Linked DNA regions of Saccharomyces cerevisiae S288C. Changing the gene in region 3 together with the main gene of any one other region gives a genetic interaction. Each region holds a gene or a part of one and is shown on either strand. Other genes may lie near its edges.

The links.
Region 1: mutations in PET8 (region 3) and GCN2 together harm fitness more than expected from each alone (negative genetic interaction), as found in Saccharomyces cerevisiae (3 studies listed by BioGRID).
Region 2: mutations in PET8 (region 3) and VID28 together harm fitness more than expected from each alone (negative genetic interaction), as found in Saccharomyces cerevisiae (2 studies listed by BioGRID).
Region 4: mutations in PET8 (region 3) and CRD1 together harm fitness more than expected from each alone (negative genetic interaction), as found in Saccharomyces cerevisiae (4 studies listed by BioGRID).

The regions. Positions count from the first base shown.
Region 1 is NC_001136.10:1,022,348-1,033,326, reverse strand, and holds GCN2 (serine/threonine-protein kinase GCN2), read left to right. Parts: upstream 1-3,277; coding exon 3,278-8,257; downstream 8,258-10,979. Other genes in the region: ZIP1 (Zip1p), read right to left, coding at 1-891; DPP1 (bifunctional diacylglycerol diphosphate phosphatase/phosphatidate phosphatase), read left to right, coding at 1,908-2,777; MRX10 (Mrx10p), read left to right, coding at 8,572-9,816. UniProt on the Saccharomyces cerevisiae protein: Metabolic-stress sensing protein kinase that phosphorylates the alpha subunit of eukaryotic translation initiation factor 2 (eIF-2-alpha/SUI2) on 'Ser-52' in response to low amino acid, carbon, or purine availability.
Region 2 is NC_001141.2:315,807-324,449, forward strand, and holds VID28 (glucose-induced degradation complex subunit VID28), read right to left. Parts: upstream 5,160-8,643; coding exon 2,394-5,159; downstream 1-2,393. Other genes in the region: FAF1 (Faf1p), read left to right, coding at 1-327; 60S ribosomal protein uL2 RPL2B, read left to right, coding at 962-965, 1,366-2,126; SNL1 (Snl1p), read left to right, coding at 5,648-6,127; aspartyl protease BAR1, read left to right, coding at 6,536-8,299. UniProt on the Saccharomyces cerevisiae protein: Component of the GID E3 ligase complex recruiting N termini and catalyzing ubiquitination of proteins targeted for degradation.
Region 3 is NC_001146.8:620,907-627,811, reverse strand, and holds PET8 (Pet8p), read left to right. Parts: upstream 1-1,982; coding exon 1,983-2,837; downstream 2,838-6,905. Other genes in the region: ribosome dissociation factor DOM34, read right to left, coding at 1-356; RLP7 (Rlp7p), read left to right, coding at 670-1,638; HRB1 (mRNA-binding protein), read right to left, coding at 3,191-4,525, 4,868-4,897; mitochondrial 54S ribosomal protein bL27m MRP7, read left to right, coding at 5,384-6,499; TOR complex subunit LST8, read right to left, coding at 6,834-6,905.
Region 4 is NC_001136.10:200,071-204,220, reverse strand, and holds CRD1 (cardiolipin synthase), read left to right. Parts: upstream 1-1,650; coding exon 1,651-2,502; downstream 2,503-4,150. Other genes in the region: biotin--[acetyl-CoA-carboxylase] ligase BPL1, read right to left, coding at 1-1,182; chaperonin-containing T-complex subunit CCT4, read right to left, coding at 2,639-4,150. UniProt on the Saccharomyces cerevisiae protein: Catalyzes the synthesis of cardiolipin (CL) (diphosphatidylglycerol) by specifically transferring a phosphatidyl group from CDP-diacylglycerol to phosphatidylglycerol (PG).

The DNA.
Region 1 (10,979 bases), on a different chromosome or scaffold from region 3:
CATTAATTCTGCATCCGCCTCCTTTTTGTTCTTCCCTAAATCATTTATTGTTTTGTTCAAGTTTTCAATACTTGTCTTAAATCCGCTTATCCTTCTCTGATATAGTTGGTGGTTTTGTCTTAAATCTTTCAATTTAGTTTCTTGATTATTCTTATGGCTCGTCAACGTTGCAATCCTTTCTTGAAGAGTTTCTAAACAAGATTTATATTTTCCGACTTTTTCATTGATCTTATCAGAATTGGAAGCATACGACTGTAGTCGAACTTTCAACTTTGCATTATCCTGTTGCTGCTTTTGTAGCTCTTGCTTTAAATTTGAACATATTCTTTGAGTGTTTGTGAAGGCTTCTAACAGGACATCATTTGAAGATGTACTAGAATTATTGATGGACGTGTGCAAAGGAGCCTTTCCATTTGTCATAGTATATTCATGCATTTTACTATCCTTGAGAGTTGTCTCAGAATCGTTAGGATCCCCATGACTTTCTTTCGTTTCTTTTGCTACTCCTTCACTCACTTCTCTTACTTCTGTAATTTCAAAATCTTCATCAGTATCATTTTCAATTGCGGCAACATCATTTTTTAAAATTCTGTTGTATTGGTCTGTTGATGTTGTTTTTTTTGGTGAACCTATTTCCATATCATCAGAATAACCATGGTTTCTCTGACTAAGGCTCATACTTGTAATCAGTTCTTGTTCGGTAGAAGTTTTGTGGGGTTTTTTGAAGGTATCATCTCCCTCTATAGAAGAACCCACGTCTAAACAGTTGGATGAATTCTCGACAACAGTATTAGCGGAAGAATCTGAATCTACATCTCTGACTCTCAGCTTAGCGAAGATGTTTGGTCGAGGCTTGAATCCCATTGAACTATCTCTAAAAAAGTTTGACATTCTCTAAAAATTTAGCCGCCGAGGGTATTTTACTTCCGAATCTCAAAGAAAAAAATATGCTTACTGTTAATCCTAAAAGAGGTGACAATATTCAGCTAAAACTTTCAGAGACTTGCAGTTCTCTTCAAGGCGGTCAACTTTAACAAAGAGGTAGCAGATTGTTTTCTTTATTTGTTCGCTATTTACAAGTGAAGAAGCAGCTCTTCATAAAGGGACAACACGGCTTATAGCATTTTTTACGAAAAGTTTGACCGTTTAGAACAAATATTTAAAAACTAGTACTCGATTTCTGGCGCAGCAAAAATATAGCATTATGTCCGATAAACACAGTTGTGATCTGTCTTGTGATCGCATACTCTGCAGATAATCAGTTGAAATAGCAGCTTTTAAGTGAGAATCTTATTCTTAGTCTACATCGTTACATTGTATCAGTCACAGGTACGGAGAGAAATTATACTTTTCGATTTCATTCAATGTAGTTTCTTTTTTACATTAAATATAGTTTTCCAGTAGTGCACTATTATTAAGGCGCTTCTGTTTTTAGTCAACACTTTTTCAGATAGTACCTTTCAGGTGGTTAGAGTGCGATCCCTTTAAAAAAAAGTATTCGTCAACGATGACAGGGTAAAGAATAAATGCAGCACGCCTGGCGTATACTGCTATAATTGTACATCATGTTATCGGCGTTGATTCTCAATTGTTTGGTGATTAGCTTTTATATATAGATAGAAACCCAACGTTGGATAACCTCACGACTAACTTTTTTGTATTTTAGAAATAATTTGTCGATCGGTTGTATATTTTTGTCATATATTATCTAGAAACGTTAGGGAATAAACTGTTATCTAGGGTCCACTAACATACGCGCAGTTCGGAAATCAGCAAACATCACTTAAAGGACACCTGCTATAAACTGAATTGTGTCCAATTTTTCGAGTAGTTAGCAGTTCAATAAAGGGCACGTTATCAATTGTTAAAGGCAAAGAATCAGAATTAAATCATAGCAAACGACCAAAATGAACAGAGTTTCGTTTATTAAAACGCCTTTCAACATAGGGGCGAAATGGAGATTAGAAGATGTCTTTTTGCTCATTATCATGATACTTCTTAACTACCCAGTGTATTACCAACAACCGTTCGAACGTCAGTTTTACATTAACGATCTCACTATATCGCATCCTTATGCGACAACTGAACGTGTAAATAACAACATGTTGTTTGTTTATAGTTTTGTCGTGCCATCTTTAACCATATTGATAATTGGTTCCATTTTGGCCGATAGAAGACATTTGATTTTTATTTTGTACACATCTCTCCTTGGTTTATCACTCGCTTGGTTCAGTACGAGTTTCTTTACAAACTTCATCAAGAATTGGATTGGAAGACTAAGACCAGATTTTCTAGATCGTTGCCAACCTGTTGAAGGCTTGCCATTGGACACTTTATTTACTGCAAAAGATGTGTGTACGACTAAGAATCACGAACGTCTGTTGGATGGGTTTAGGACAACTCCGTCAGGTCATTCAAGTGAAAGCTTTGCAGGACTGGGTTATTTGTACTTCTGGCTATGTGGGCAACTTTTGACTGAATCACCGTTGATGCCTTTATGGAGAAAAATGGTGGCCTTTCTACCACTGTTAGGAGCTGCACTAATTGCTCTATCCAGAACTCAAGATTACAGACATCATTTCGTCGATGTAATTTTAGGGTCTATGTTGGGTTATATAATGGCACACTTTTTCTACAGAAGAATCTTCCCACCCATTGATGATCCTCTTCCGTTCAAACCATTGATGGACGATTCAGATGTCACCCTGGAGGAAGCAGTCACCCATCAGAGGATCCCGGATGAGGAATTACATCCTTTGTCCGATGAAGGTATGTAAGAATAAAAAAGAATATATACTCCACATGACATACGAAATATACGTATTTATTGTTCTGTATGGAATAACAGCGATTACATAAAGATGACATGTTACTTCTTTATTCAAATTAATCTTGACGTGCAAGGGCCTGCTTGTTATTTCATCGGACAATCCCAACATCACTTTACACGAAAGCCTTAGAAGTTTATTATTTGTTTTAAGTTGGACTATAGTGATGTAGGTAGTTTCTTAGGAAGCAGTTGAGTAGCTGATTTTTGAGATAAGAACCTGGTGTAATCAATCTATAAACAGCCTAGAATCTTTTTAAGCAAATTTACTTTTACATTTATCTCTATCTTCTTTCTTACAAGAAGTTATTTTCATTACAAAAGGACATTAAATACACTAAATTTTCAATCTTTACATTGTTGGAAAGCCTCGTTGTCTTTTAAGATTTTATAAGCATTGATTTTTTTTTTCAATAATTTTCCGTTCCCCTTAACACATACTATGTATAAATGTCATTGAGTCATCTCACTTTAGATCAATATTATGAAATACAGTGCAACGAACTTGAAGCGATACGTTCCATTTATATGGATGACTTTACTGACTTAACTAAAAGAAAGTCTAGCTGGGATAAGCAGCCACAGATTATATTCGAAATTACGCTTCGATCTGTTGACAAAGAGCCGGTTGAATCTTCTATAACATTACATTTTGCGATGACCCCAATGTATCCTTATACCGCTCCAGAAATAGAATTCAAAAATGTACAAAATGTAATGGATAGTCAATTGCAAATGCTGAAAAGTGAATTTAAGAAAATCCACAACACCTCCCGAGGCCAAGAGATTATATTTGAAATTACATCTTTTACTCAAGAAAAACTGGACGAATTTCAAAATGTGGTAAATACACAGTCCTTGGAAGATGATCGATTACAAAGAATCAAAGAAACTAAAGAACAATTAGAAAAGGAAGAAAGAGAAAAACAACAGGAAACAATAAAAAAAAGATCAGATGAGCAGCGAAGGATAGATGAAATTGTTCAAAGAGAGTTGGAGAAAAGACAAGATGATGATGATGATTTGCTATTCAACAGAACAACCCAGTTAGATTTACAACCACCTTCAGAATGGGTTGCATCAGGTGAAGCTATTGTCTTTTCAAAAACTATAAAGGCAAAATTGCCTAATAACTCAATGTTCAAGTTTAAAGCAGTTGTAAATCCTAAGCCAATAAAACTGACATCAGATATATTTAGTTTTTCCAAACAATTTCTTGTGAAGCCTTATATACCACCAGAATCTCCGTTGGCAGATTTTTTAATGTCTTCTGAAATGATGGAAAATTTCTACTATTTGCTATCTGAAATTGAATTGGATAATAGCTATTTCAACACAAGTAATGGAAAAAAAGAAATAGCAAATTTAGAGAAAGAGTTAGAGACGGTGTTGAAAGCTAAGCATGACAATGTGAATCGATTGTTCGGTTATACGGTGGAGCGCATGGGGAGAAATAATGCAACGTTTGTTTGGAAAATAAGACTCTTGACAGAGTACTGTAACTACTATCCATTGGGAGATTTGATACAATCTGTTGGATTTGTTAACTTAGCAACAGCGCGTATTTGGATGATTAGATTGCTTGAAGGATTGGAGGCCATACACAAATTGGGAATTGTTCATAAATGTATCAACTTAGAAACCGTGATCCTGGTGAAGGATGCAGATTTTGGAAGCACTATTCCCAAGTTAGTTCACTCCACTTATGGCTACACTGTTTTGAATATGCTATCGAGATATCCAAATAAAAATGGTTCTTCGGTTGAGTTATCTCCAAGTACATGGATAGCCCCTGAGTTGTTGAAATTCAATAACGCCAAACCTCAAAGATTAACTGATATTTGGCAACTTGGTGTTTTGTTTATCCAGATAATCAGTGGATCTGATATAGTGATGAATTTTGAAACGCCTCAAGAATTCCTAGATTCAACAAGTATGGATGAAACTTTATATGATCTTCTTTCGAAAATGCTTAATAACGATCCGAAGAAAAGATTAGGAACATTAGAACTACTGCCCATGAAATTCTTAAGGACCAATATTGACTCTACAATCAATCGATTTAACTTAGTTTCCGAAAGTGTCAATTCTAATTCCTTGGAGTTAACTCCTGGAGATACCATAACCGTTCGGGGCAATGGAGGTAGAACACTTTCACAATCGAGTATACGAAGAAGATCATTTAATGTTGGTTCCAGATTCTCTTCTATAAATCCTGCAACGCGATCACGATATGCTTCTGACTTTGAAGAGATTGCAGTTTTAGGCCAGGGCGCATTTGGACAAGTTGTCAAGGCACGTAATGCTCTCGATAGCAGATACTATGCGATCAAGAAGATTAGACATACAGAAGAAAAGTTATCTACTATATTGAGTGAAGTAATGCTGTTAGCAAGCTTAAATCATCAATATGTTGTGCGTTACTATGCTGCATGGTTAGAAGAAGACAGTATGGATGAAAACGTTTTTGAATCAACTGATGAAGAAAGTGACTTGAGCGAATCTTCCTCTGATTTTGAGGAAAATGATTTATTAGATCAAAGCAGTATTTTTAAAAATAGAACAAATCACGATTTGGATAATAGTAACTGGGATTTCATATCGGGGTCAGGATATCCGGATATTGTCTTTGAAAATAGTTCTCGTGATGATGAAAATGAAGATCTAGACCATGATACTTCCTCGACTTCCTCGAGCGAAAGTCAAGATGATACTGATAAAGAATCAAAGAGTATCCAGAACGTTCCAAGAAGGAGGAATTTTGTAAAACCGATGACTGCTGTTAAGAAGAAAAGTACGCTTTTTATTCAAATGGAGTACTGTGAAAATAGAACGCTATATGATTTGATCCATTCTGAAAATTTAAATCAACAACGTGATGAATATTGGAGGTTATTTCGACAAATTTTGGAAGCACTGAGTTATATACATTCCCAGGGTATCATTCATAGGGATCTGAAGCCAATGAATATTTTTATAGATGAATCGAGAAATGTTAAAATCGGTGATTTTGGGTTAGCTAAGAACGTCCATAGATCTCTGGATATACTTAAGCTAGATTCACAGAATTTGCCAGGCAGCTCAGATAATTTAACATCCGCCATTGGTACAGCAATGTATGTTGCTACTGAAGTTTTAGATGGTACAGGTCACTATAATGAAAAGATTGATATGTATTCACTTGGAATCATTTTTTTTGAAATGATCTATCCTTTCAGTACAGGTATGGAGAGAGTTAATATTTTGAAAAAGTTACGATCAGTGTCGATAGAATTTCCTCCTGATTTCGACGATAATAAGATGAAAGTTGAAAAGAAAATTATAAGGTTACTCATAGACCATGATCCCAATAAAAGGCCTGGTGCTAGGACATTATTAAATAGTGGTTGGCTTCCTGTGAAGCATCAGGATGAAGTAATCAAAGAGGCTTTAAAAAGTTTGTCGAATCCTTCATCCCCTTGGCAACAGCAAGTTCGAGAAAGTTTATTTAACCAATCTTACAGTCTAACAAATGATATTCTATTTGATAACTCAGTTCCAACATCCACTCCTTTCGCAAACATTCTCAGGTCCCAAATGACAGAAGAGGTAGTTAAAATTTTCAGGAAACATGGAGGAATTGAAAATAATGCTCCTCCGAGGATTTTTCCAAAGGCCCCCATATACGGTACGCAGAATGTATATGAAGTGCTTGACAAGGGCGGTACCGTCTTGCAGTTACAATATGATTTAACTTATCCTATGGCTAGGTATCTATCTAAAAATCCAAGTCTGATTTCTAAGCAATATAGGATGCAGCACGTTTACCGACCTCCTGATCATTCAAGGTCAAGTTTGGAACCTAGAAAGTTTGGTGAGATTGACTTCGACATAATTTCAAAATCTTCCTCAGAGTCAGGATTTTATGATGCAGAAAGCTTGAAAATTATCGATGAAATATTAACCGTATTTCCTGTATTTGAGAAAACAAACACTTTTTTCATATTAAATCATGCTGATATTTTGGAGAGTGTTTTCAACTTTACAAATATTGATAAAGCCCAAAGGCCTCTAGTTTCACGAATGTTGTCGCAAGTAGGCTTTGCAAGGTCCTTCAAGGAAGTAAAGAATGAACTAAAGGCGCAACTGAACATATCTTCTACGGCATTGAATGATTTGGAGTTATTTGATTTTAGACTGGACTTCGAAGCAGCCAAAAAACGCCTGTATAAATTGATGATTGATAGTCCGCATCTAAAAAAAATTGAGGACTCTTTGTCCCATATATCAAAGGTTCTCAGTTACCTAAAACCCTTAGAAGTTGCAAGAAATGTTGTGATATCTCCTTTGAGTAACTACAATAGCGCTTTTTACAAAGGAGGTATCATGTTTCATGCAGTTTATGACGATGGATCCTCACGTAATATGATAGCTGCTGGAGGGAGGTATGACACTTTGATATCCTTTTTTGCCAGACCATCAGGAAAAAAGAGCAGCAATACTCGTAAGGCTGTAGGTTTCAACTTAGCGTGGGAAACAATATTCGGTATAGCCCAAAACTATTTCAAACTCGCTTCTGGAAATAGGATAAAGAAGAGAAATAGGTTTTTGAAAGATACAGCTGTTGATTGGAAGCCAAGCAGGTGTGATGTATTGATATCGAGTTTTTCGAACTCTTTGTTGGACACAATCGGGGTTACAATACTGAATACATTGTGGAAGCAAAACATTAAAGCGGATATGTTAAGGGATTGTTCCTCGGTGGATGATGTCGTTACTGGCGCTCAACAGGATGGTATAGACTGGATTTTGCTGATTAAGCAACAAGCGTATCCACTAACCAATCACAAGAGAAAGTACAAGCCATTAAAAATAAAAAAATTGAGCACTAATGTTGACATAGATTTAGATCTTGATGAGTTTTTAACCTTGTACCAACAAGAAACTGGTAATAAATCTTTGATCAACGATAGTCTCACTTTGGGCGATAAGGCTGATGAATTTAAAAGATGGGATGAAAACAGCAGTGCCGGTAGTAGTCAAGAAGGTGACATAGATGATGTTGTTGCTGGTTCGACTAATAATCAAAAGGTAATTTATGTTCCAAACATGGCTACAAGATCTAAGAAAGCTAATAAAAGGGAAAAGTGGGTTTATGAGGATGCAGCCAGAAATTCTTCGAATATGATATTACACAATTTATCCAATGCACCAATTATCACTGTTGATGCCTTAAGAGATGAAACTTTAGAAATAATCTCAATTACTTCTTTGGCTCAGAAGGAAGAATGGCTGAGAAAAGTTTTTGGGTCAGGTAATAACTCGACTCCTAGAAGCTTTGCCACGAGCATTTATAATAACCTCTCCAAAGAGGCTCATAAAGGGAATAGGTGGGCAATATTATACTGCCACAAAACCGGAAAATCATCTGTTATCGATTTACAGAGGTAGGCCTTTAAAGATCTGTGCGGCGCTATAACGCATCAGTTAAAGGTAAAGTATATACAATGTCTTAGATACTATATTTAGGCTAGCTGATTCATCTAATTCACCGTTGTAAAGGGGGTAGGTCACCTTTCTTATACATATTCCTGATACTAAAGACAAATGTAGGTTTAATGAGATGGTCTACTTCTTCTCTCCTTTCTCTACTTTCCATTTTGTATTTAATTTTTCGGTGAATATAAATGTGTGCGTATGTTGTGTGAGGCTCCTCTAGCTCCTACGGGAGACATTTAATAAATGATCATAATATGGCGTGAAGAATGCTTTCATTCAGAAGTTTGACTAGCACATTCGGTTTCGTATCACGATTCCAAATTAGACGGTTAGGAACTAGTTTATCAATACAGAATTTAGAAGTGCAAGATGGCCGTTGGAAAGGTAAACTAGCTACAGAGAAGAAGACCAATAGGGAACACAAGTCAGTGGATACGAATATCAAGACAATGAAGATGCTTAAAAACCCGAAGAATTCTACTCGCTATTTGAGACGAAGTTTTGTGCCAAACCACAGAAAGCAGGAGAATGGACGTGATATTCTGGAGGATTCTTTAAGTAAAGATCACTTAAAAGTGAAGAGTTGTATCACCATTACCACCGGAGAGGGTTATGATCTCAAAAGATGCATGAAATTGCTTACTATGCAAGGATTACAACCGACAAATTTGATACCTGATGAAATCGTGTCATTTAGTTATCAGGATAATGGCAATAAAGGTGACGTAATGATTTTAGGTCAAAATGGATCTATTGTAAGCTGGGGCTTCAGTGAATCTAGTGTTCGAAACTGCATAGTGCCTATAGTTAAAGCAGCGAGTTTAAATCCACTGAACGGAGAAGACTTTGAGACTGAGGACATGGATTATGTGGAAATAGAAGGGGAACAAGATTTTGATAAGCTTTCCAGTTTGGATAATAAGGTAACACCGAGAATTGCATGCGAAAGCTTTCTTTCTGGAGATTTGATAATAATTAACTCCTTGGATTCTGATCAAGGAATGCTAGATAAGGCGGCATTCTCAAGTGGGCTATCGAGAAGCACCAACTTGGCAGTCCTAGAAGAAGCAATGGAAAAACATATATCAAAGACCAGAACAATAACAGAAAATATTTCTAAGGGAACAAAGTTAAATCTAAGGTCAAGTGATGCATTAAAGTCAATAGGCCGCCTTTTTCTAATTAGAGGAAAGTTGAACCTCTATTCAGAACTAATTGAGACCCCTGATCTTTATTGGAGTGAACCTCAATTGGAAGAGATTTTTAAAAATGTTTCGAGGTATTTGGACATAGGCCCAAGAATAAATATTCTGAACAGCAAGCTGGACTATTCTACGGACGAGTGTCGAGCCCTCATCTCTCTTTTAAACGAGAGAAACAGCACTTTTTTGGAATGGATAATTATATACCTGATTGCTTTCGAACTGTGCTTTGAAATTTATCATTTCTACCAGAAATATTCTTCCTACTGCTCAGAACCCACGAATGATGATCTAGATGCTACAAAGTAAGAGATTTTTTTGTAAATAAGAGTTACTTTTGTATGTTGTATTACGGGCTCGAGTAATACCGGAGTGTCTTGACAATCCTGATATAAACAGTCTTAGGGAAGTAACCAGTTGTCAAAACGGTTTATCAGATTAATTCACGGAATGTTACTTATCTTATGTATTATATAAAATATGAATCATACTAAGTGGTGGAAGCGCGGAATCTCGGATCTAAACTGATTGTTCAAGCATTTATACGTTTGGGTAGTTCAGCTAGGGAAGGCCGTGTTTTATCTCATGTTGTTCGTTTTGTTATAAGGTTGTTTCATATGTGTTTTATGAACGTTTAGGATGACGTATTGTCATACTGACATATCTCATTTTGAGATACAACATTGTATATACACAGAACAATGAGAAAAAGTTCCACTCAGTAATTAATATTCTTTTACCCAACGTTTCCTTATAACGTTGTTATTGAAAAAGGGATATTATATGAATCCACGCACCTGATCTGGCTCTTAGAAGCGACTAAATAACTACATATGTAAGAGATCTGCTCCTGCCACAAGAGAAAGCGTTTTTTAGCGATAAAATCAAGATTTCTCATTTCCTAATTGCTTATGACGGACGACCTTCATTATTAGAACGTGCAAATGTGCATTAGCGTGTAATGATACATACGCAAATTACAATAAAAAATAAACATGTAAATAAATGAGCCCACTTAAAATAATATGACATATATTAGTTTGCACTGTCATGAAAACCCTGATAACGTGGTGTCATTTTTATTACACCCGTATATTCATCAGCCCGTCCTAACCTATCCGAACGACGCAGGATGGCCACTAACATCGCAAATAGTGTTATTACTTTTTCCATTTGGATGTTCTGCCCTATAATGTTACGCAGTTCCGAGCTTCGCTGACACGTGGGAGGTGGGATATAATATTTGCACGGGTTCTTTTTTGTGTCGTCTGGCGGAAAAAAATAGACTCGTCTCTTGTATGGCGCGCTAGTAATTTATTATTTGCGATGCGCAGAACCTTATCTTTTGTTTTCTATTCAGTATAAAACTTGAACGATTTCACCAGATGTTTGTACACTTTGATTCATTGCAGCCCAAATAGAATTTTTGTCAACTGCCATACCAAACTTGTTGAACTAAAAAAAAACGACAG
Region 2 (8,643 bases), on a different chromosome or scaffold from region 3:
AGAAGAGGAATGATCGACAAGCACGTCAAGAGAATCAAAAAATACGAACAAGAAGCTGCAGAAGGTGGAATTGTTCTATCCAAAGTGAAAAAGGGACAATTCAGAAAAATTGAATCTACATACAAGAAAGATATCGAGAGGCGTATCGGGGGAAGCATTAAGGCCAGGGATAAAGAAAAAGCTACCAAAAGGGAACGTGGTTTGAAGATCAGTAGTGTAGGCAGATCGACGAGGAATGGACTGATTGTATCCAAAAGAGATATTGCTCGTATCAGTGGAGGCGAGAGGAGTGGTAAATTTAATGGCAAAAAGAAATCCCGTCGCTAGATCAATTGTGATTCCATGAACTCACAAACAACTCGCCTAAGAAACTGTCTAAATTTTTATGCACTAAATAGACCACAAATGAGAACGTAAAGAGAAGCTTTTATCATTTTATTTCTCTTCTCCTTAGGAGGAAATACAAATATCTTTTCTACATTTAATTCAATCTGACAGTCAAAGTTATACATATACATTATACCGATTACCAAGTTTTCAGACTAGAACCCATACATTATTTTACAAACCCAGACAGTACACTATACAAAAACCCAAGCAATTGCAATCAATTTTTTTGCACGAAAATTTTATTCGAAATCGCCAACCCGCTAGGGAGAAAAAGAAGGAATTCTCAAAGGAGAGGCTGGACAGAGAGGTCGTCCCAGTCTACCGCCTACGAGTAATGTTGGATACTAAGCAGTTCCCAGCCTGAACGCTCTGCTGGATGGGTGGAGATTTCCCTCCAGGCGGGAACACTCCTGGTGGATTCTGCTCTGGAAACTATGCTGTGCATGCTACAGGTTTCAATAATCTTTCATACTTGACAAAAGTAGATATACATATTTTAAAAGATTGAGTTACTATTGATAAATCTACTATTTGTCATAAACTCACCAAGAAACCACAAAGTTATTGAACAATGGGTATGTTTTTATTATATCGCATAATTATGGCAAATGTTATGAAGGATTCCTCTATGACTTAGATGTTTTGAATCGGTACATTTTATTTTCAGTATCCTTCTGCATATTACAAGGCAACATAGCAGCGGACAAGAAAGCTTTTTTGATGTTCGTCTTCGAAACGATTACTATCAGGGTCTTTTAAATGCTATATCGGGACTTATTGAAATTGACATATTACACTTATGAATGACGTTGGCTATCAAAGTATGAGAATAAGCCTTTCCTACTATTTTGTATCATGACAACAGGGTTCTGTCGCTTTGAATGCGGCCTTTTACTTTGCCATATTTTGATAATGAAAAAACTTTCGAGAAATATTTACTAACAGGATCGAGAATTTTTTTCCTCATTTAAACAGGTAGAGTTATTCGTAACCAAAGAAAGGGTGCTGGTTCTATCTTCACCTCTCACACCAGATTAAGACAAGGTGCTGCCAAGTTGAGAACTTTGGACTATGCTGAACGTCATGGTTACATCCGTGGTATCGTTAAGCAAATTGTCCACGACTCCGGTAGAGGTGCTCCATTGGCCAAGGTTGTTTTCCGTGACCCATACAAGTACAGATTACGTGAAGAAATCTTCATTGCTAACGAAGGTGTTCACACTGGTCAATTCATTTACGCTGGTAAAAAGGCTTCTTTGAACGTCGGTAACGTCTTGCCATTGGGTTCTGTCCCAGAAGGTACCATTGTCTCCAACGTTGAAGAAAAGCCAGGTGACAGAGGTGCCCTAGCCAGAGCTTCTGGTAACTACGTTATCATCATTGGTCACAACCCAGATGAAAACAAAACCAGAGTCAGATTACCATCCGGTGCCAAGAAGGTTATCTCTTCTGACGCCAGAGGTGTCATCGGTGTCATTGCCGGTGGTGGTAGAGTTGACAAACCATTGTTGAAGGCTGGTCGTGCTTTCCACAAGTACAGATTGAAGAGAAACTCTTGGCCAAAGACCCGTGGTGTTGCCATGAATCCAGTTGATCACCCTCACGGTGGTGGTAACCATCAACATATTGGTAAGGCTTCTACTATCTCTAGAGGTGCCGTTTCTGGTCAAAAGGCTGGTTTGATTGCTGCCAGAAGAACCGGTTTACTACGTGGTTCTCAAAAGACCCAAGATTAATCTTTTTAATTTTGGTTTCTTCCTTCTGTCATATTATTTTATCAATTTTCTTAAATATTATATAATTTAATCCGAAACGTTCCTTATAAAGTGATATTTCTATGCATACTTTTTTTTCTTTGACATGAGAATAAATTCAGCCAGCTACTTCCTATCACAGAAATTTTAGTTAAACGTAAGCTTGCAGTTATGGATTCTTCTGCGAAAATACTATTTAAAAAACTATAGCATAAATTAATTGTAGGAAATACTACGAGTTCTGTGCATTCATTTAACTTTCAAAAGCAGGTCCATGTGATATAGTAACGTTCTGGCCTTTTCCCTGACAGATAATGATTCGTCTGTAATATTTTTTCTAACCAGATCGTATAATCCTACCTCCACGAGTTTTCTACATCTTTCCACCGTGGCACGTGTTACTTGTACATTTGATGTACTACCTTTTGCAGCCGGGGTGCGAACGAACTCATCGCCTTCATCATCACCCTCATCATTATCGTCATCTTCATCATCATTCGCATTGCTACTGCTATCATCGCCATCTGGCTCATCGTAGTATTTCCCCCTAGAATATCCACCAGCCACTGATTCATTATACCCGATTGTCACCGTAGATTGAGGGTTTTCTGAATCACTTGGTGAATGCCCTGGTTCCAGACCATTTTCAATTGCATATTGGGTATAATGTGAAACTGATGAATTCCAAAGTAAGTTATTGAGTACCCAGAGGCATGCCAATTTCAGATTGCTGTCATTACCATTACTTGAACTATCAGTCGTTGTTTCTACCAATATTTCACTCATAATGTTCAATATTTCGTCTTGTTCGATGACTAGCTGCTTTTTATTCTCATTGACTGCCGCTAGATTCACGATAATATATAGGATGCCTTCCATTGCTTTCTTTTGTTGAGTGTCTAATGGATTTAAAAGCCTCATCTTCTTTGCAAGAAATTCGAAAAGATACGTTGAGCCGATGCTAATTTTATTACCTGTTTGAGGATCGATCTTGTATTCTACATCTTTAAATTTTTCCAAAAGAATATTTACAATTTTCCTTGAATTACAAGTCAAATTTCTGAGCAACTGAAAACATTGGGCTTGTACTGCCCAACATGGATCATTAATAAAATCCAAAATTAAATTCATCGGGATTTTGGCCAAAAGCTGAAACTTCTCTTCATTCTGGCAATTGTACATTAGATGCCTTAGTACCCATAAAGAGTTTGCCTTCACTTCATGCACAGGTATGCCTTGCAATGCAATCCTTCTTTCATCTTCATTATCGTCCCAGGCTTTTTTTGAGTTAAACAATGGATCTGTTAACATCTTTTCAATTATATCGATTATACCGTTTCTCAGCATAAATGACTGTAAATTAGAGAACTCCACCACGAAGTTACAAATACTACCCAGAGTAATGCCCATAATCATAATTTCCGGTTTCATAAAATCTTGTCCAGCAAAATAGCATTCCTTGGTCAACGTATATGTTTTACTTAGTATCTGTAAAAGCAGCTGTGCAATTTTATTTCTCTTCAACGTCGTCCTAAGCGCTGAAACACTTCTCGAGAATGATTTCAACAATAGTAACCAAGCTGCCACGAAATCGTGATCATATATTGGGGGTAAACACATAGAATGACTTTCCGTAGTTGTTTCCTTTATCTCATCTTTCAAAGATATAAAATCCTGTATCAAAGTAATGTGGGATTCCAACCCGTATTCTAAATGATTCAACAACAATGTGTCATTCAACAGTAAAAGACGGTATTTTTCGTCCGATGCTGCAAATGACGCACATATTTTAATGAATTTTGTAGTTGTTTTCAAAGTAGCTTCATTGTGTTGTGGTAGAGAAAGACACTGCGCAAAACGGGATAGAATGCAAAATATAACGTTTGTATGAGCTAGCGTGGTGAGCACAGGATTATTCATTGGAGTAATTTCATTATACAACACAATCAATGAATCCAGCATATCGAATGGATCAAACCACCAAGGCAACGGGTCATAATTAAATGACTTAACTAAATAGGGTAGTATTTTCTCGAGTGTACGCGTATCTTCCCATTTCTTATCCTCTGTAAAGTACGGTTGTAACAAAAACTTCAGGGCCACGCACCTAATGTTAACGTCATTACTCTTCAAAAGACCCAGAACGAACATCTTGAACGTCGCATCATTCCGCAGTTTCCTATCACCCGGTATCATATAATGATATCTTAGATATAGAAGGAGTGCCAATGAGAGTAAACTAGAATCATACATGTTTGAGATATTGATTTTTTTAGGTATGGCACGGGTGCAGTCGACCCCTTTATTGTCAAACGGATCGTTCTTGACGCTGGATGGTGACGCTGGCCTGGATACTTTTAGCCTCACTATATACTTGAGGCTTATTTGGTCCAAGTACTTCGATGATATTTTAACTATTATGTGTTCAAGGGATTCTGCCATTTTAAAATCTTGGTAGTGTGAAGTTTCTGTCACTTCTCTCTCTTCCTCCATAAACTTGCTCTTGTTGAAGTCGCTGCAATTTTTCTCGTCCACAAGTAAAAACAACTTCAATAATTCAATAATCGTGACCACCTCATCAATTTTACATTTGCTCCTCAAAAATTTATGGTTGACTAACTGGATGAACCCGTTCTGGAGGTATTGCAAGTCTGGGAATCCGCAATTTGGATAAACTCCTGCACACAAATTTAGAAGCTTTATGTACTTATAGTTTGTCGAAGAATTATTTTTAGTAAAACTGCTTGCCAAACTCATGGACTTATAGATTGCGGACACAATATCAAAGTAATATGTGCCTACTATATCCCTTTGTTGCGGTTCTAGATGTAAAAGGGTATATAGCAGATCTAATTTCGCATTTTTTAACTCTACACCGTCACTTTGCTCAATGGACAACAAACATTGAAAAATCTGGCACTTTGGAGCCAAAAAGTAATCTACCTTAGCCAACTGGTCTCCCACCAGGGAATTACTAATCTTTTTGAGATTCTCTAGGGAATAAGCCACCGTCATAGTGTAACTGTAATATATCACCAATCTAACACGAGGGCAATGATACAGGAAAACTGCAAGTTTCCGCCATGAAGATCATCCTCTTAGGCCGCAGTTTGTAGTGATATCCCTATAAAACGTATTATAATCTAATTAGTTTAGTTCGCGCCCCTTCAGTCTAATCACTTATAACGGATGACGAATATAAGGTCAAAAGCTTCATACACAAGCAAAACCATTTATGCTACCTGCAATTCAATCGGCAAGCATGCTTTTTCAAGAGCGCATATGGACTTGAAGGAGAGCCATAGCTAGAGGGGTTTTTAAATGGAAGACTTGTGCTCATCTAATTCAATTTGCCTTTACTATCATTTGGTCGATATTGAAAAAAAATATCGCGAACTGACATAACCAGTAGAAAAAAAGATGGAATCAGCTCTGTAGTGCTGGTTTCAATCCTGTTTGTTGGTGAAAAAATAGCACCAGAAGGGCAATTGTACGTTTCCGTAATGTCGCACAACGCAATGGAACATTGGAAGAGCAAGCTGAGCAAAACAAGTACCTCGACGTACGTCCTCTTGGCCGTGATTGCTGTTGTATTTTTGGTTACAATCAGAAGACCCAATGGCAGCAAGGGAAAAAGCAGTAAAAAGAGGGCTTCTAAAAAGAACAAGAAAGGTAAGAATCAGTTTGAAAAAGCGCCGGTTCCTCTGACTCTAGAAGAACAAATTGACAATGTGTCGTTGAGATACGGCAACGAGTTGGAAGGTCGTAGCAAGGATCTAATAAACAGATTTGATGTGGAAGATGAAAAGGACATCTACGAGCGTAACTATTGCAACGAAATGCTTTTGAAGTTGCTGATTGAGTTAGACAGTATCGATTTGATTAACGTGGATGAGTCCTTAAGAAGGCCGTTGAAGGAAAAAAGGAAAGGCGTCATAAAGGAAATTCAGGCTATGTTAAAAAGTTTGGACTCTCTTAAATAAGTTTGTATTTTTAGTTTATAGATAACGGCTCTTGCCGAATTCATAGGCTGCACTCATTCCGGTACGGTACACATTTGTTGCATTTATTATATTAGAGATGCGTTGTCCCTGTTTTTCTACCTCCGACATCATGCTGAAACATGGCATGTAATTACCGTAAAAGGAAATTACATGGCGAGTGTCACATAATAGCGACAATAACATGTATACACAGCCAGCTATTCTGAAACACACCACATTATAGTTATTGAATGTGTGTGTTTTTTGATAACAGTATAAAAGTGAAGAGAAAGCACGTCGAGCCTTGTCATGATGAATTCTTTAATGATCTTCGCGTGATTTAATTCTAGTGGTTCGTATCGCCTAAAATCATACCAAAATAAAAAGAGTGTCTAGAAGGGTCATATAATGTCTGCAATTAATCATCTTTGTTTGAAACTTATTTTGGCGAGTTTCGCGATTATTAACACCATTACTGCTTTAACAAACGATGGCACTGGTCACTTAGAATTCCTTTTACAACACGAAGAGGAGATGTATTACGCAACAACCTTAGATATAGGTACACCGTCCCAAAGTCTGACAGTGTTGTTTGATACCGGATCTGCCGATTTTTGGGTTATGGATTCTAGCAATCCCTTCTGCTTACCAAATTCAAATACGTCATCCTATTCAAACGCAACTTATAATGGCGAAGAAGTTAAGCCTTCAATTGATTGCAGGTCTATGAGTACTTATAATGAGCATAGATCTTCCACCTACCAATATCTGGAAAATGGTAGGTTTTACATCACATATGCTGACGGAACATTTGCTGACGGTAGTTGGGGGACGGAAACTGTATCAATTAATGGAATTGACATCCCCAATATCCAGTTCGGAGTTGCCAAGTATGCTACGACACCCGTTAGTGGTGTTCTTGGAATTGGGTTTCCTAGAAGAGAGTCCGTTAAGGGCTATGAAGGTGCTCCTAATGAATATTATCCTAATTTTCCTCAGATTTTAAAAAGTGAAAAAATAATCGATGTGGTCGCGTATTCGCTGTTCTTAAACTCACCTGATTCAGGTACTGGTTCGATTGTTTTTGGTGCCATTGATGAATCAAAGTTTTCTGGTGATTTGTTCACTTTCCCTATGGTAAATGAATATCCCACAATAGTCGACGCTCCTGCAACTTTAGCAATGACTATACAAGGATTAGGTGCCCAAAACAAAAGTAGTTGTGAACATGAAACGTTTACGACGACCAAGTATCCAGTTTTGTTGGACTCAGGAACCTCGCTATTGAATGCGCCCAAGGTCATAGCAGATAAAATGGCTTCTTTTGTAAATGCGTCCTATAGTGAAGAGGAAGGTATATATATATTAGACTGTCCAGTATCTGTAGGTGACGTGGAATACAATTTTGATTTCGGCGATTTGCAAATAAGTGTTCCACTGTCTAGTTTGATTTTAAGTCCCGAGACAGAAGGCAGCTATTGTGGGTTTGCGGTCCAGCCAACAAACGATTCGATGGTTCTGGGTGATGTGTTCCTGTCCTCTGCATACGTCGTATTCGATCTCGATAATTATAAGATATCTTTAGCACAGGCAAATTGGAACGCAAGCGAAGTTTCGAAAAAGCTAGTAAATATTCAAACAGATGGGTCTATTTCAGGTGCCAAAATTGCTACAGCTGAACCCTGGTCCACCAATGAACCATTTACAGTCACCTCTGACATTTATTCATCTACAGGCTGCAAGAGTAGGCCTTTTCTTCAATCATCGACAGCCTCTTCGCTTATTGCAGAAACCAACGTACAAAGTCGCAACTGCTCTACGAAGATGCCAGGCACTAGATCAACTACTGTCTTAAGTAAGCCTACTCAAAATAGTGCTATGCATCAAAGTACAGGCGCTGTCACACAAACCTCAAATGAAACTAAATTAGAATTATCCTCGACTATGGCAAATTCGGGCAGTGTCTCGCTTCCCACTTCGAATTCAATAGACAAAGAGTTCGAACATTCGAAATCTCAAACTACCAGCGATCCAAGTGTAGCAGAGCATTCTACGTTTAACCAAACGTTTGTACATGAAACTAAATATCGGCCTACTCATAAGACAGTCATAACAGAAACTGTCACGAAGTATTCTACAGTCTTAATAAATGTCTGTAAACCAACATATTAAGAAATCTGGAGTACAATTTCTTTATAGCATATAAATATCAAATATATAGTCATTTTTAATACATGGAAAGCATAATAAAAAAACAAGGGGAGTTTTACTGATATCATTGGGATATATAAAACAAAATAGTAATATTATGCAGCCATCACAATTTTGAACAAGTAGCACATTATTCATTGAATAAATGCTAAAAAAATCTCCGCGACGGGGAATTGAACCCCGATCTGGCACGCGACAAGCGCCCATTCTGACCATTAAACTATCACGGAATATTAGATGTGATATTGTTGTATCTCAAAATGCGATACGTCAATATGACAATACGTCATCCTAAACGTCCGTAA
Region 3 (6,905 bases):
TTTATGATAGTAAAGGGATACACGTAGTCAAGGGTAAAGCTCAAATATTTGCCGACAGGTATGTCAACATTACTAGCTCCACTTTCATCTGTAACAGTAACACCTTTATATTTCAAATATTCATCCTTCATATCAAAATCCTCGGATATTACTTTAATCTTCAACTTGACCAAATCTGTACTTTTTTTCTTACCAGCTTCATCAAGTTTAGAGGTGAATTTTTTCTTGAATATCAACTCGTCATCTTTGTCTACTATTTGATAAACAGTAAACAGATCTTCCTTGTCCTCCGGTAAAAGAGTAATCACTGCTCCTCCTTTGTTAAAAGAATCCTTTTTCAGACTAATAACCTTCATATTTTTGCTATGATAGGAATGCGATAATTGAACAAAATGACAACGATGCAGCAACGAATGCTTAATTTTTTGGGATCTTCATTAAATTACATTTTACATTAATATACAAAACTAGGTGAATATTGAATAATGTATGTACACTTTCATCACGCAGTACGGATTTTTGGTAAAAAGAAAATTTTTTTCAGCTCTGCTTAAAAAAAGCTGGGAAGCGATGAGATGAGAAAAGTCTAAGTTGTTTGGTACTTTCGTTATTAAGTTCCTAGAAAGAAGAGGCTGCCACAGGGAAAAAGAATAAGATATACAAGTCACAATGTCTTCAACTCAAGACAGTAAAGCGCAAACTCTTAATTCTAATCCAGAAATTCTTTTGAGGAAAAGAAGAAATGCTGATAGAACTAGAATCGAAAGACAAGAATTAGCTAAGAAAAAGAGGGAAGAACAAATCAAAAAAAAGAGAAGTAATAAGAACAAATTTGTCAGAGCTGAAAGTATAGTTGCAAAGACTTTGGCTACCTCTAGGGAAAAGGAAAGAATTAAAAGAGTGTCTATATTAGAAGATAAGAAGGCAAAGAATGAAACGCAGCATATTGCATCTGGGAAAGATTTTATTCTGAAAATAACAGAAAAAGCTAATGGCGCCGAAGAGAACTCTGTCGACTTGGAGGAGACTGAAGAAGAAGAAGACGATGGTTTAATCAGAGAAAAGACTACTTACGATGGCAAACCTGCTTTACTTTTCATTGTCAGAGTAAGAGGTCCGCTTGCTGTAAATATTCCAAACAAAGCATTTAAGATTTTGTCTTTGCTAAGATTAGTTGAAACTAATACTGGTGTTTTCGTCAAATTGACCAAAAACGTATATCCGTTGCTCAAGGTTATTGCGCCATACGTAGTGATTGGCAAGCCTTCTTTATCTTCTATCCGTTCCTTGATTCAAAAGAGAGGTAGAATAATCTATAAGGGTGAGAATGAGGCTGAACCTCACGAAATAGTTCTTAATGACAACAATATTGTCGAGGAGCAATTAGGAGATCATGGAATAATTTGTGTTGAAGATATTATTCATGAGATTGCCACTATGGGTGAGTCTTTTTCTGTTTGTAACTTCTTCTTACAACCATTCAAGTTGAATAGAGAAGTATCTGGATTTGGTTCTTTGAATAGGCTAAGGAAAATAAAACAGCGGGAGGCTGAATCAAGAACTCGTCAATTTTCAAATGCAGCTACAGCACCAGTTATCGAAGTTGACATTGACTCTTTATTAGCCAAGTTGAATTAATTAAGAGAGTATTTTAAAATTGTATAGTACATAGGTTGTTAGTTATCTAATGCCATTGAAGGAGCAGATATTGAGCTTTTGCATATAATTAGTGGTGCCTCATGGATTGAAGAATATACGTATTTTGGCAAGTTTATTGGTTTTTAGTTTATGTATCGGCAAAAGCACGGGCGCCTCTTTTTTTCCTCGCTTACTGAGCGCTGTTTTGTATATAAATACATTTGCAGTGGGGTGCACCCTCGAGAATATATGAGATCATTAAAGCTCCACTTGTTGTAAATTGTTTGGCGATTTTATATGTTTAGACACACCGATGAACTAAAATTCGCTTTGAAAAGTTTGCTATGAATACTTTTTTTCTTTCCTTGCTAAGTGGCGCCGCTGCTGGTACCTCTACGGATTTGGTTTTTTTCCCTATAGACACAATTAAAACCAGGCTTCAAGCTAAGGGTGGATTCTTTGCTAATGGAGGATACAAAGGCATATATCGTGGTTTGGGAAGCGCTGTTGTAGCATCGGCGCCAGGTGCTTCACTTTTCTTTATTAGTTATGATTATATGAAAGTAAAATCAAGGCCATATATCAGCAAACTTTACTCACAGGGATCTGAGCAATTGATTGATACGACAACGCACATGCTTTCCTCTTCCATTGGTGAAATTTGTGCTTGTCTTGTTCGAGTTCCCGCAGAAGTCGTTAAGCAAAGGACGCAAGTTCACTCTACCAATTCTTCCTGGCAGACTTTACAGTCAATTCTACGAAATGACAATAAGGAAGGTTTAAGGAAAAATCTTTATAGAGGGTGGTCTACCACCATTATGAGAGAAATACCGTTTACTTGTATACAGTTTCCTTTATACGAGTATCTAAAAAAGACTTGGGCAAAAGCCAATGGCCAAAGTCAAGTGGAGCCATGGAAAGGGGCTATCTGCGGTTCTATTGCGGGTGGGATCGCAGCAGCTACAACGACACCATTAGATTTCTTGAAAACCAGATTAATGCTCAACAAAACAACCGCCTCACTTGGAAGCGTTATTATTAGGATTTACAGAGAGGAAGGTCCTGCTGTATTTTTCAGTGGAGTGGGGCCCCGGACAATGTGGATCAGTGCAGGTGGTGCTATCTTCCTAGGCATGTATGAAACTGTTCATTCGTTATTATCGAAAAGTTTCCCAACGGCTGGAGAAATGAGAGCGTAATGAAAACATAGAGCAAAAGCAACTACCAGTTGTAAGAGGTAGATCGTTTACGTACTTTACGTAAGCCTTCTGAGGCCTCTTGTCTGTTGTTTATTTTTTGTTATTCATATAAAAAAGTCGTCTATTTACGATATCTGTTCAAAGTACTTTTTTGGATATTTGTTAAACCCATTTTCACTGTATTGGAAAAATCAGACTCTTTTCACAGTCTTCTTCAAAGTCTTCGAAATTTTTTCAGATTATACGTATACACAATGACATTATAAAGTTAAAAAGCCTGGAAATAAGTCAAGAATGAATAAATACTTGTCGCAGATCCAATAGGTGAGAAAGTATATAGATCGAGAGTAGTTCTAGAGGCGTTTAGCGTACGATATATCCAAATCACAACCCCCATAGTTATAATTATTCAATCTTTCAATACAAACATCTGCATCATCGACGTTATCGTATTCAACGACAGCTATTCCAGTTGGTGCCCCTTTGGAATCATACCTTAATTCAGCATTGTTAACCTTTCCGATTGTCTCGAAAAGGTCGTAAAGATCACTTTTTGCAGTTGAAAATGGCAAATTACTGCAATATATGAGTCTATTTCTTTCACCTCCACCGACAACGTTTTCGGTAAATTTTCGAGCTTCTTCGTTAACGGGAGAATCATCCATTGGGATATCAACATCGTCTCCATCACTGTGGTTATGTACGCTTTCCTTAGACTTGACATCCAAGACGTTACCCTCTATACTATAACCGTTGTATTTCTCAATCGCTCTATGCAGATCTTTAATATCATAAAAGGACACCGTACCAGATCCAGTGGATACTCCATCGCCATCCAATTCCACATCAGCGTGTGCGACATTCCCACATTCCTTGAATATGTCTTTCAAAGCCTGCCAATTAACGGAAGCAGGTAAATTTTTTACAATAACTTCATGTGTTTTTCGGTTATGTCTAAGCTCTCCTCTATCGAGTGCTTTCCTTTCCTTGATATTGTTTGACGGTGGTGGATTATCTTGCCTGACGAAGATTTTACGATCCATGAAGAAGGCCCCATCGTACTGGCGGATGGCCCTGTCAACATCATCCGAATTAGTGAACTCTACTGTACCCATACCTCTGTGGTGCCCTCTTGATGTAATTATATCCGCGCGGACTACTTTTCCTATCTGTGAAAAAAACTCAGTGAGATCTTCGGGGGTGCTGTCATATGTTAAATTACCCACGAATATACTATTGGAATAGTTTCTATTGACCTTTTCTTCGTATGTACTATCCAATTCACGTGCCAACAAAGGACCGTAATCACCTCTTGCTCCACTACTACCAAAACCGCCTCTCCTACTGTCATCACGTGTATTGTGTCTACTCCTAAAGCTTCTAGGATAGTCATCACGTCTGTTCCCATAACGACCAGTCACATCTCTTCCTCTGCGCCTATCATCGTAACGGTCTCTAGATCTAGGATTATCTCTGTTATTGAACCTTTCTCTTTCTCTGTAATCAGACCTTTCTCTACCTCCTCTATATTCTCCTCTATCTCTGCTTCCTCTGTACGTATCTGCGAACTTACGCCTACCGTTATAATTACCTGACCTCCGGGACAAATGGTTGTCTCTTTCATAACCATGATCATCACTCATCCGACGACGAACAGGTGATCTCGACCTCGATCTACTTCGATTATTCTACAACAATGAATAACATTAGTAAAAGTAACTAAATTTCATAATGAGAGAGACCAATAAGTCATTGCGTTTCAAAGTTGGAATAAACTGTACATTATAGCATGGCAGGTAGAAAATCAGGGTTTTATTTATAATTGATATTCTCACTTTCATAGCCAGTAGATAAACATTAGCAATGCATTCAAAAAACCCCCTTTAACCAGTGGAATCACATTGAAGCAAGCGTTTTGAAGGCAGCATTAAATGGTGACTCACCATTCGTTGATGTCTATTTAATTCCAATGACCTCATAAAGTCTCATTTTACAAACTTTTCTTCACCTCCCTTATCAATGAAACATACGTTTTCTGAACCTCGTTCTTGATCAGACATATCCTGTTAACTTAATATTTGGCGTTCTATCTGCTCATTCAAACTGTTTTCGAACTCATGAGCAAACATAATTATGAAATTTTTCAGCCAGTACTCTACTTTTTCATTTCCCTCGCTAAACAAAGAGAGTCATTTGAAACGACCCAAGGAAAGACGTAAATTGAGGTATATGTAGTGACCAGAAGAGGATAAGGATGGCTAGAGTTTGGTGTTCAAGTTCAATTGTTTGGTTGAATAGGTACTAAAAAGATTTTCACACAACGGCTTCTCTGTAATGTTATACACACTGTTTTTATACCAATTATGCAAATTTGGCTGTTATGACTGGGTGTTTCGATATCTGACGTTCCGCTATTGAATTTTAAAGCTCTTTCTTTGGAGACTCATTCAAGATAGTTCACTGAAGAATGAAGTTGGCTCATTGTAAAAATAAAACTCGCCAGTTTGGGTGGTCATAATATTTCAAGCTTAACCTAAGGTGAGAATATGTGGAATCCTATTTTACTAGATACTTCTAGTTTTTCATTCCAAAAACATGTGTCTGGTGTGTTCCTTCAAGTGCGTAATGCCACCAAAAGGGCTGCGGGCTCGAGAACAAGTATGAAGGATTCTGCAGGAAGAAGGTTAGGACCAAAAAAATATGAAGGCCAGGATGTTTCCACAGGTGAAATTATTATGAGGCAAAGAGGAACAAAGTTTTATCCTGGAGAAAACGTTGGTATAGGGAAAGATCATTCCATATTCGCCTTAGAACCTGGTGTTGTTCGTTACTATCTTGATCCTTTTCATCCTAAAAGAAAATTCATTGGTGTTGCCTTGAGGCGTGATTTGAAACTGCCATCTCCTCATTTTGAGCCTACCGTAAGGAGGTTTGGCCGTTTTGAGTTAACAAATAAAAGGGCAGCATATAAGGAAGAAAATTCTATTTCTAGAAAAGACTATCTCGCAAAACCTAATATTTTGAAGCAGTTAGAGGTCAGGGAATCTAAAAGAAAGGAGTTACAAGACAAGTTGAGTAAGGTTCTTCGGGATGAACTTAAGTTAGATATAAAAGACATCGAATTGGCAACGTCATACTTAATTCGTGTAAGGGCTTCCCTGAAGAATGGATACCCCATAGAAGATGCAAGGTTCAATAGTAGATATTATTTAAAAGAAGAAGAGCGTTTGAAGGCAAGGAGAGAAAGCTGGACGAATGAGAAATTGTCGGAGAGTCTATCCAAGATTGATGAGTGTAGTGATCTTTTGAACTCATCTACATCTTTCAATAACAAGCTAGAGCTACACCAGTATATTTCGGAACAAGAAAAACAAGCTTTGAAGGCAAAACTATTAGAGGACCTAGAAAAATCCCAACACTTAGAAACCAAAAAAGACAAGAATTATATTAAGGCGCTTTTCAAGGACGCTTGTAATTTTTTGACTTTATCTGAAGAAGTACATTTGCGTAGGAAATACTTAAAGTCGGTCTTCCCCGAAACAGATAGTACGGTTGAAACCAAAAGCGGGAAGAAGTCAATTGTGTCTAGACGTTTTGATTACACCAAAAATAAAGTTGAAGTCATTGCTAGAAGTAGGCGGGCTTTTTTGAGCAAGCTTTGATTTTCTTTCCTTACGCACAGTATGTACACATATAAAATGTTTAAGAATGCCTGTAAATATTACTATTTTGTCGCGCAAGTAGCTAAACCTTTCGTCTACACGAAACTTAAAATTTAGTGCTACATGCAAGGGAATATGTTTATACTGTACATTCTCGTCTTCCTTTCATTGATGATATGCATCGCGATTGCTTTCATTTTGTGAACAATCAATTAACTAAAATGCACAGGATAGTAAAATCTATATTTACAAAAAGGCGGATAAGCAAACACTGAAAATCATAATGTTTTTTGTCACTTCGGTCCTTCAAGCTTGGTAGTTGATAAATTGTAAACTATACATCGTTTAATGCGACACATACAGCTCCCTTGTGGTGTCCACCGTACTGTCTGACAATTTCTCTAGT
Region 4 (4,150 bases), on a different chromosome or scaffold from region 3:
ACTCGTTGATGTAACAACTTCACCATATAGAAGTAAAGAACCTATGGTGTTTTGAACATTCAGATACTTGAAGTATTCTTTCATGTCAAAATTGGGCGTATATTGAAATGGTGGAATATCTTCATCTACGCCAGGAAATATTACGGTCTTAGGAACCTCATCTGGCTCTTTATGAAGCAAGGACGAACTTGCTGCATCGTAAGAGGCTCTATAGCCTCTATAAAATTGGAAAGAGTCAGTTTCGGCGTTTAATTCTGAGCAGAGTTCAACATTATTTGCATGCATTCCATGATGAGCTAAGTTGTTTTCCATTTCTTGCAAGTAATTCCGCTTATTAGGTGCACTAGCCATAAACAGTGGTGTCAAATTTGGAGCTCTTACATAATTGAAGTCATTATTACAATTCAACCCAGTTTTGGTAAGAACCGTTCTCATAAATTTCAACCTCATGATTTCCTGTGCTTTCAGGTTTTCCACAACGGTTTCAAGAAAATGCTTATCTGTGGATTTCCTCATAAAACGGACGTTGAATTCAGGGTGTGGTCCAGTGAGTAAAACCTTTCCTCTTCCGACCGTACATAGCACTACAGCAGCTGGGTTTTCACTTTGACCTTTTCCTGAGTCAGAAGAAGGCACATCCGGGTGTTCTGCGTACGTGGCCAAGATCTCGACATTATCAAATTTATCTGCATCAACAAAAACGGCTCCTCCATTGAAATAAGTTGAGAACTGTGAGCCATCTGGAAGATTCAATTTAACTGCACGTGCACCGGCCTCGCTGTTATACTGAAATCCATTGTACGCAGGTCCTCTGCTTGTTCCCGGAAAGAATCGCAAATCCCTGCTTCCTGATACTTCCATTGTAGGGTCACCTTGAGCAAATTCTACACGGCTGGTGCCAAAGTAACCTCCTGCACAAAATCCGATAAAGACACCACCTTGTTTGCTAACAAAATGTTTCAATCGAGAAATAATGGGTTGACAAGCTTGAACGTAAGGAAGATCGGCACCACCAGGAAAAACTACAGCGGAGGTCTTTGACATCCATGGTTCTGTCTGTAATACCTTAACATTGACAGTACTGACGGCGTAATAGGGTTCCAAAAAGTCACGTAAACTTTCAACAGCATGCTTAACTGATCCTGGCGTAGTCCCTGGGCCATTATAGACTAATACATTCATATTAGTTGAAATTGGATAATATTGATAAGATCGTTCTAATATCTTCTTTATTGGAACTCTGAACCTGTAACAACCAGTAAAAACCTTGCACTTTTGTATACCAAACAACTTTTGAGAACAATATATTACAGCAAAAGAAAAACTGACGAAGGGAGAAGGAAAGTAAAATATACTTATATGTGCGTTTACCCAACGTTTGGCAAACAATTACAGGAAGAAAAAGCCAAGTCCGTAGCTCTGGGATCTCTTACATGAAACCATATTAAATGTCAACCAACACTTCACAGTCATGTCTTCGAATCATTGTGCGGCGACTATTTCCGAAACTGGAGTGTGAAAAAGCTCGATTCATGAAGCCATCCTCTTAATCGGGAGTATACAATATTTACAATTGAAAAAATATAGAAAGGAGGCAATTGAGAAACAAGCAGGCCTGGTAGCATAGTTTGGTCCCTAATAATTTAGTCAATGATTCAAATGGTGCCCATTTATTCATGCTCCGCATTACTTCGGAGAACTATACCGAAAAGGCCATTCTATCATGTGTTATCAGGGTTAACTGTACGCTTTAAGGTAAACCCGCAATTAAATTACAATCTTTTCAGAGATCTCACTAGGAGGGAATATGCTACCAATCCGAGTAAAACTCCTCATATAAAGAGCAAGTTGCTCAATATTCCCAACATTTTGACTTTATCACGAATAGGATGTACACCCTTTATCGGACTCTTCATTATAACGAATAATTTGACCCCAGCATTAGGTTTGTTTGCATTTTCCAGCATCACTGATTTTATGGATGGGTATATAGCAAGAAAATACGGCCTGAAAACCATTGCAGGAACCATATTAGATCCACTTGCAGATAAACTACTCATGATCACAACAACTTTGGCATTATCTGTACCATCCGGCCCTCAGATTATACCGGTATCTATTGCGGCGATAATTCTGGGTAGAGATGTGCTACTAGCCATAAGTGCTTTGTTTATACGATATAGCACTTTAAAGTTGAAATATCCTGGTCGTGTGGCATGGAATTCCTATTGGGATATTGTTCGCTATCCCAGCGCTGAGGTCAGACCTTCCCAACTATCAAAATGGAACACGTTTTTCCAAATGGTATATCTTGGATCTGGAGTATTATTACTTTTATATGAGAAAGAAGAGGGCTGTGAAAAAACCGAGGAGGATTTCGAAGATAGAAAACAGGACTTTCAAAAGGCCTTTAGCTATTTAGGGTATGTAACCGCCACGACCACAATAATGAGCGGAGTATCCTACGCATTAAAGAGAAACGCTTTTAAACTTTTAAAATAGTATAATTGCGATCCTTTTTGAAAAGGGTCCTGACTTTTCATTTTGAATGTTTTTTAGTTTTTATGTAGTGGAAAATACACTAAATCAACATATATATGTATATATGCATAAACATATGGATACTGGGAAACCCATGTTAACGGCTGAATGCAATATCATCAATACGTAAGATGGATTTAACACATTCAGACGCTAAGGTAATTGCACTTGTACTAACAAGTACGGGTTGTAAGATGTGTTCTTCATAGGTGTTCGTAGTACCAGATCGTCTAACAGAGATACCGTCATTCAATTCACCATTTTCATGCTTAGAGCGCAATTCTGTGACAACTTTGATACTATTCAAACCTGCGTTTTCAGCCAAAGTCGTTGGAATAACTTCCAAAGCAGAGGCAAATTCTTGCCAAATAAAAGCCTGTACACCTTCCATAGACCTTGCTTCCTTACTCAACCTACGGGATATTTCAATTTCTGGAGCACCACCACCAGCGATTAAACCTCTCTCTTTCACTAGACAACGAATAACACATAGTGCATCATGGAGGGAACGCTCTGTTTCATCAATGATCATGTTGTTTGCACCACGAATAACAACAGAGACGGTTGGTCTTGCATTATTGTTTCTTATACCAGTTACTCTAACTATCTTGGAACCATCGCTATCGATCTCCTCAACTAAATCAGCGGAACCCAATCTATCTTCGGTGAACAATTCTATATCAGCAATTGGCTTACAACCCAAGCCCTTCGACAGAAACTCGATTTCTTCTCTCTCGATATCCTTTACCACCATTATGTTCAATTTTGACAAGAAATGAAGAGCCAAATCATTTACCGCATCTCTCAAGATGGATTTCTGAATCAACAGCACGTTACACTTGGCCTTTTTAATTTTTTTACAGATATTTAGCAAATACGCTCTTTCTTCTTTAAGGATCTTATCCATTTGTCTATAGTCATTAACGATGATATTATTTTCTGTGTCGGGCTTTGGAGGAGATATTTGGAATTGAATTAACCCAATCTTTGCTTTTTCCTTTCTTGTCGGACCACCAGCAGATTTGATTGCCGTTTGTGTCAAGACCACACCATCTATCATTTCTGTGTCATCAATGGTACCACCAACTTTTTTGACCAGTCTGATATCGTTCAGGTCAACATTCTTAGAGTTTTCATCAGATATCTTCAATACGGAGTCCACTGCCAAGGGCGCCAAAAACGAAGAGTATTGAGACACAATCTTGGAACTCAAAGAAGTGGATGCAGCACGAACCAGCTGTTCTCTATCGCTCAACGAAACCTTATGGCACATTTCTAAAAGAATATCGACAGATCTCTTCGCAGCACTTTGAAAGGAGTCCGCAATGATGGTTGGATGGATGCCCTTGTTTAACAGCCTCTCAGCAGCACCCAATAGAGCTCCGGTCAAGATCACCACAGAAGTGGTACCATCACCGGCTTCCGAGTCCTGCGCGGCAGAAACCTCTACTAGCATTCTGGCCACCGGATGCAGAATGGCCATCTGTTTTAGAATGGTGTGGCCATCATTAGAGATGATGATTTCTCCACGAGATGTCTTAATCATCTTGTCCATACCCTTGGGACCCAATGAAGTACGGATGGCATCTGCAACAGAACGTGCAGCGAT